2 linked regions of the Coturnix japonica genome follow. Each later gene encodes a partner of the first gene's protein in a complex. Links are inferred from orthologs where the notes say so. Each region holds a gene or a part of one and is shown in the gene's direction. Other genes may lie near its edges.

Region 1 (3,616 bases):
TGGGTGTGCAGCATTTAATGGTAGTCCAAGGGATGGAACATCATTGGCAATCTCTCTGCAAGAAACCTAAGAAAAGAAACCTGTTTTAGCAGCATGACTGTTTAACAGATGTGTGCCTTCATCTCTCACAGAAGGGAATCTCCAGCCACTGTCACCCACCACTTCCTCTTGCTCTTTCTGTTATATTCATTTCAAGCCCAGTTGCTTTTCAAGCCTTCCTTAATAGTGCTCGATTTCCCTTCTCATTGGTTGTTAGGGTGCTTTACTGATCCTGTAAATTCAGATATGAGGGCAGAGGAGGAGCATTTCTTCTGCTGCAAGAAGCTTCTAGCATCCCACATCTCAGGAGCCTCAATCAGCCTTTTCCTCAGGTCTAGCCTCCGAGTGTCCCTCTTGCCTTGCATTGTGAAGGTCAGGATCTTGTGTCTACAGGGTCTCTGGTTAGACCCTCATTTCCTATTGTCCCCCCGATGTTCTGCAGTCTGCTCATCTGGGATGGCTTGTTCTCCTAGCATTGCTATGCAGTAAACATATTTAAAAAAAAAAAAAAAAGCAAACTGATGGAAATCAGATTTTGGAATGGATCAACTCCTCATTCTTTAGCCATAACTAAGGCTCACAACATGCACCAGTATGTAAGTTTGTTACCCACTGATGTCATAAAAACTGATGGAAGAGGTTGAAGGGCGGTCCCAGAATGAGATCCCAGGAGATTTCGCCCACTGGCTAAGGTGTTTATGTGTTGTTGCAGTGTTGACTGTTGCTGTACAGAGTTCACAAGTTTTGTGTCCTTTTGTATAGTTGCTTCCATTTGTTCACACTGAATTCTCAAACCCTTACTTTGTTCTTTTTGGCCAATTGCAATATGTTGAGTGCTGGTTGAGCTAGAGGGCTGCCCTTCCCTCTGAGGTGAGAGAATCAAGAGGAAACTGAGACAGAAAGACGAGTGTGAATATGGTTGCTGCAGCTGGAATCATACGGAGAGAAAACTGAAAATGAGATGCAAAATATGAAAGGAATAAAAATAACTTTAATGCCAATAACCAAACAGCATAGAAAGCTTGATTTTAAAGGCAAAATGCAAATTTATTCAGGAAATCTGTAGGCTTACCTATGAATGTGAAGATTCTGGGGAACAATAGATTAAAATAGAAGAGTGCAACTGAAGAATTCAAAAGAAACCCACAACGTTCTATAGCAGTATTTGTTGTCTTTTTATTTGCATTTCTTGTTTCTGTATGAACCTGGAAGTGTTACAGGATAGATGATTGTGAAGATGAATGGCTCTTCAAGTATAAAAGAAGTTTTGACCATAAATGTGTTTTAGGGCTGGGTTTAGCTGTGAAAGAGGAAAGCTTGGGAAGGCCCTACAGTGCTGTAACCCCATTAGTTACACTGGAAGAAGTAAAAGGGCTTGTTAAAAAAATAAGTGCACGTGGAAAAGGGATGACAGAAGGGTGAAAGCAGCAGCTGCACCCTGGAGGGAATGGACAAGCTGGAGAAATAGGTTGCAAAAGAGAGAAGACAATTCTTGTTGTGATTGCCCACCGTCTAAATTCCTCCTTATCTATATTAGCTCAATGTCGCATTGACCCTCCCTCTAGCAAGCGGAGTGAGGGGAGGAGGCTTCCACACTTGTCAGTACTGGTTCCTCAGTCAGATGAGGAGGATGCACTGATATGACACTAGTTATTTTACTTGTATGTGGGTCAAAATAAAATCTGGCAGCAAAGCTTTTCAGAGACTGGGTGAGTCCTCCCCTCTTCTGTGATCCTATTGTACAGAGTCTGCAGGAAACCTGGGGTGGTTTGTCTTCCTAACGCTGCTATACAGAGCACTGAGAGAAAAAAATCCTAATTCTCTTGGTAATCAAAGACTGGAACACTTCATCTCCTCACTCCTTGGTCTGAGCAAGGGCTCATTGTGTGCACCAGTGCTGGAGTTTGTTACCCTCTGATGCGTGCAATCAGTTTTCCTTCCCTATATATAAAAGAGATCTCTGTGATAGTGGAATCTTATGCCAAAGTGGGTTTTACTGAAATCCTGTGCCAGTACATGGCAGTTCCTATGTTTTCTTCCCGCTGCATGAAAAAAAAAAAAAAAAAAAAAAAAAAGGTCTTTAAATATGAAAGTTAATCAAGTCTTCTTTTACTCCAAATGGCTGTTCTCATGAGCTAATTAAAATAATTCAGATGACTGAAAAAGATTTTAATTGACTTAGGATTGCAGTTCAGAAAAAAATGTGTTTCTATGTGGAAAGGCTTTTGGGTTAAGCCAGCATTCAGGCATGCAGGAGATGGATTCAGCTGTTACCATGTTATAGATCTGTTATAGATCTGTTGTTGTTGAAAAACAAAGTCTTTTGTTGACTTCATAAGTTTAAGAAATGCCTTCACCTTTCTGCAGAATATGGATTTTAACAGTCCATTCTTACACTTCACCTAGTGCGTTAATGCAGAATAGGTTCTTGCACTCAGGGTGTTCCTCTAGGTTTATGAACCTGCTGTTGTGGCCGAGATTCTGGGCATTTTAAACTGACCTGTGGTGCTTATTCTCAAAGGCCTGGTCCTGCTTGAGCTCTTTACACACAGGAGGGACTTCCTTTTAATGCTTGGCTTTCTGCAGTGAAGATCTGGGTTGTCTGGTATGGGTTTTTTGTTGTTATTGTTCCACAAGATGTAGGGATTTCCTACACAATGTTTTTCTTTTGTGAGCTTCTTACATGCATTTGTCTCTAAACTTTATCCAGCTTGGACAGAGAATTGTAGGTAACATTTGGTTTTGAAGTTTGTGCAAGTACGTTTATGGCCTCCCTGACATGAACTTTATGCTGCTTTATATCATTTTTATGTTTATGTAGTATGCAAGTCTCAACTTCCTTTTAGCTTAAAGCAGGAAACCATACCAAGGGAGGATGAAGCTCTGCATTTTCTGGTGAGAGAAAAGAGTCTGAGTGTTTGAAGTACATCCTTTCTCCAGAACATTTGCATATCTTTTCTTGTGGTTGCTGAGTGTATCTGTAGCCCTTATGATAGGTGCTGTCAGGTGATGGAAAAGAATGGTTGCATTGAGAAGTACTGGCAGTTCAGAATAGTTTCTGAGCATTATGTCCCAAAGAAGAGAAATTATATTGAAAATTAGCTTGCAGCTTTTAGACCAAGTCTGTGTCCCAGTGAGACCAGTGGTTTATCTGCAGTAGATGTATTCTCTATCGTGGATGTGGCCAATTGCCCTGTACGTAAAAAAGGAGTTCCATGTGCCATTTCCAGTGACGTGTTGCTCTGAAGCACTGCCAGAATTAAAATGTTACCCATGCTATTTTCAATAGATGAGTTCTCTGAGAATCTGTCCAGGGATCCTTATTTTTATAAACATTTTGTAGTACAGGTGAATAACTTTGTAATGATTTTCTCTCATATCTGATTTGCAGAAGGTACAATCAATCACCCACCTTGATTCACTCTGGATTAGTGGCTGTTTATGGCACAGTTGTTTTAAATCAGATCGTTCTCTTTCTGGGAACGGATGATGGACAGTTACTGAAGGTAAGTAGAGCGTGGGACTTCCTCCCTTCAGCATCGACTATTACTGTGTTCAAATATATATGTGTTTCGCA
Region 2 (3,616 bases), on another chromosome or scaffold:
AGCAGCTCTCTGCAGCTCGCTTGCTGCCAGCTGGGGGGGAATTTCACCCTCCTTGCTTCAGCACCGAGACAACTGGCATGAGTTTCCTCTTGCTTAGGGTGAGGAAGGAGGGGAAGGGGAAATGGAGAGAAATGGACAGCAAGTCCCATGTCAGATGCTTGTTGTGTAAAGGTGCCCATCAGCTGCCGAGTGGTGGTGGAAACAGGAAGAACAAGTTCCATTCTGGGCAGTGACTCTTTCTAAATCCCCAGCCGGGTCATAACCTTGCAGCAAGAAGCTGTTGGGCTGCTAGTGGACGAAAGAACCCTTCTCAGTTTCTGTAACCTTACTGCCTTCCCCTAAGCCTCTCTGGGAAACTGAAGATCATTGAACCCCTGGCCAAAGACAAAAGTCCAAATGACATCAAGGCCAAACAGGAGATGTGTATGCAGGACAGGAGGAAAAAACCTCACAGACCTGGAGCACTGATGACACAGAACTCACTGCCATGGGGCCACCAGATACCCAGAGGGATCGTACTGCTGCTGGGGATGCCCTTTGTGGCAGCAGTGTATTAATAGGAAAAAACATGACTGGGTTTTCCACACTGAACACAAATAATGAGGCATCTTGCTCCACTGAGGGAGCATTTCTGTACAAAGCCAAGGCTTCACTAGGCTCCGGGGATTTGCTTTGCAAGGAAACAAGTGCATGGGGGAGGGAGAGGAAAGGGAACCCGTGGGAATGTGGTGTGTGAAGAACAGTCTTTAGTGTGCTGTGACTGGTCAGGTATGGAGAAAGGGCTTGGACCTGTCCTTTGCTCAGACCCACCAGTGAGCTTGTGTTTCTGAAGGGTTCATGTCCAAACCAAAGTTTTCTGACTGCTTGTTTCCCTTTCCAGACCCTCAGTTTGTCAAAGCCACCACATTAAGGCATGAAGAGCCTTACCAGGACAAGATTTACTACTTCTTCCGTGAAGACAATCCAGATAAGAGTCCTGAGGCACCCAGAAACATCTCCCGAGTGGCCCAGCTGTGTAAGGTATTGTAGGAACAGTGTATGGTTGGGAGGCAACAGTGTCACAGGGGTGAGAAATGGCCATACCAGCTCATCTGGTTTTGTCAGCACACAAGTTGGCCCCTCTGGCTCCCTCTAGCCATGTCCTTTGCCCTTCCCATCCTTGGGCTCCCATCTTGCTTGTAGAGGGGGACAACACTGTCCTCTCTTGCTGGGATGTTAGAGATAAACAAGCATTGCAGAGACCAGCAGCAAATATATCTCCGGAGCATCCCCCACAGTTATCCTCCTAAGATGCCATACAGAGGGGACTTTGTGTTGTTCTCTACCAAGCCCTGACTCTCTGCTTTCTTTCTACTCCAGGAAGACAAAGGTGGAACCAGTTCACTCTCTGCATCCAAATGGACCACCTTCCTGAAGGCCAGCTTGATTTGTGTTGACCCAGCCACCAAGGGCAACTTCAACTGGCTGCAAGATGTCTTCTTTGTCCCTGCAAGTAACTGGAGGGACTCCAAAGTCTACGGACTCTTCACAAACACCTGGTAAGGGTCTTTGCAAAATGGGGAGTGCCTGTCCCATGGGCCTTGTCCTTTCCTTCAGCCCTTTGTTCTCTCTGGCAGGAACATGGGTGGAAAACAGCCAGAATGGACATGGGCAGCAAAGGTGCGACACGCAGCTGTGCCCCAGCCATGCCCCAGGCAAAGGCCACTGTATCCCTGACCCTTTCTTTGTCTTCTTTCCCACAGGGGAAGCTCTGCTGTTTGTGTCTATTCTTTTGGGGACATTGACAACGTGTTTCGAACATCCAAACTCAAAGGCTACAACGGTCCCAACCCAGAGATCAAACCTGGGCAGGTGAGTCAATGATGGAAAGACACCCACATTAAGCAGAGACCTCCTAAGGTCCCTGCTGTGCTGCTGTCAGAGGGAGCTGGGGCAGGTGAGGGTCCCAACCAGCCAGCTGAGAACTGAGAGCTGAGTGCTGTTCTCAGGCAGCGTGTGGGCAGTGTGGGAAGGATCTGAGCTTTGTTACTGGAAACATGAGGAGGCTGGTCAACGTCCAACGCCTTTATGGAAATAAAGGGGAGTGAGGATCTTATGTACTTGGCAAACAGGTCCGAGCTCTCGTTTGAAGTTGGAGGACAAAGCTTTCTATTGTGTTTGCTAACACAAAATGTTTGTCTGCACCAGTCTGTGGCCTCAACCCTACAATTCATGGTGCTCAACTGACCTGGCAGCAAAGAGTTGCATGGGGAGAGGCTGTCCTAGGCTGCTGGGGAAGGCAGGGTCTGAGACTTTTGCAGTAGGAGAAAGGCTATTGGGCTGCCAAGTATGTAGATAAAGTGTTTGCTGTGTGTTTTCAACCTGCTCTATGATCCTGTGTACCTGCAGAGCGGCCTTTGCTGTGGCAGGAAGCTCTGGGCATCCTCCTCTGGGCTTCAGCTGTGCCATGTCATTTCTTTCCTGCCCTCAGGGATCTGCCTTCCTCTGACACAGTGCCTTTTATTCCCTCTCGGTGCAGTGTGTTCCCTTTGGACAGCACACCCCAAGTGAGACCTTCAAGATAGCTGACAGCCACCCAGAGGTTGAGGACCGGGTAGAGCCCCTCGCTCCCACCAGGAGCCCCTTATTCCACAACAAGCACCGCTACCAGAAGATTGGGGTGCACGAAGTCTCTGCAAGCGATGGACGCCAATACACCGTGCTTTATCTGGCAACAGGTACCAGCAACCCTAACCTTGTGCTGTCTTTCCCGCCTTGCTACCCAGGCTCACACCCTAGAGCCGTGCTCATCATCTTCTTTTACTTTGCATCTGCATTGTGCTGGAGTTTGTTTACAGGCATGAAAAAAATGCAGACTAGTCTTGGTGGCCTGGGTTGGTGCCCATGGTGGCCTGGGTTGGTGCCCATGCATGCTCTTATTGTTCTGCTCCTGCTAAAAGCCTTAGCTAAACACAGCTAATGCCTTCCAGATTCTGCAAGAGAGCTTGCTCCATGCTGCAGGGCTTGGCAAGGCAGCTTCCCACCTGTGCTGTGGTAGGTGTGGATACACCTGAGGTGAAATGAGGGGTGTTCCCCGCCTGACCCCTCTTGGGGGGTCCTATCTCACCTCCCCTGCTTGTGCTGGGGAAGGGAGAGGCTGCTTTGGGAGGGGGAAACAGAGACAATTAAATGAGAGTAAGTGATGAGATTACTGATGCACATTCCACCAGGATGAGAATTGCCACACATCTGCCAAATTGCTCCTTTTCTTCAATTACCAATTCCTGAAGTCATTTAATGGAGGAGGGAGTCGCTTTGCTTAACAAAGCCAGAAAGGTGGAAGTCCACATTTCAACCTCAGGCATTGGCGATAAGGCACAGCGGAACAGAGTCCAGTTTGAGAGCTGTTGGTTTTCCTTGCAGCTGAACAAAAGGGGCTCAGTCAGGCCTCCAGGGGAAATCAATTCCTCATGGCTCTTGGCTGAGAGGGTGACAAAGCTCTGCTCTGGGAGGCACTATTGTATAAAGGGTGAATTCCTAAGTAAATAATACTGAAAAAGGTTCCAGCCTCCCCTGGGTGGCTGGTTTCAGGGACACAGTCATATCTGGCTCTGCAGAGTGATGAGTACTGTGTGCT

The links. Proteins that work in one complex are often made in the same cells at the same time.
Region 2: the proteins of PLXNC1 (region 1) and SEMA7A are in contact, whole or in part, in a crystal structure (PDB 3NVQ), measured with the Homo sapiens proteins. The link is inferred for Coturnix japonica from reciprocal best matches to the Homo sapiens genes PLXNC1 and SEMA7A. Residues at the interface, in NP_005752.1 of Homo sapiens: Arg131, Thr151, Glu152, Val153, Asn195, Pro196, Ala197, Ala198, Ser199, Asp200, His201, Thr203, Ala206, Lys208, Arg213, Ser214, Leu215, Ala216, Thr217, Gln218, Glu219, Leu220, Arg222, Lys224, Glu272, Ala350, Ser352, His353; in NP_003603.1 of Homo sapiens: Gln194, Tyr196, Asn197, Gly198, Lys199, Arg202, Arg204, Tyr213, Ser215, Asp216, Thr217, Gln270, Gly271, Gly272, Glu273, Ser274, Ser275, Leu276, Val278, Ser279, Lys280, Pro372, Thr375, Glu376, Phe378, Gln379, Asp382, Arg383.

What each region holds. Positions count from the first base shown.
Region 1 is NC_029516.1:41,062,975-41,066,590, forward strand, and holds part of PLXNC1 (plexin-C1), read left to right. Parts: intron 1-3,430; coding exon 3,431-3,545; intron 3,546-3,616.
Region 2 is NC_029525.1:1,860,704-1,864,319, forward strand, and holds part of SEMA7A (semaphorin-7A), read left to right. Parts: intron 1-880; coding exon 881-1,020; intron 1,021-1,359; coding exon 1,360-1,538; intron 1,539-1,742; coding exon 1,743-1,851; intron 1,852-2,518; coding exon 2,519-2,717; intron 2,718-3,616. UniProt on the Homo sapiens protein: Plays an important role in integrin-mediated signaling and functions both in regulating cell migration and immune responses.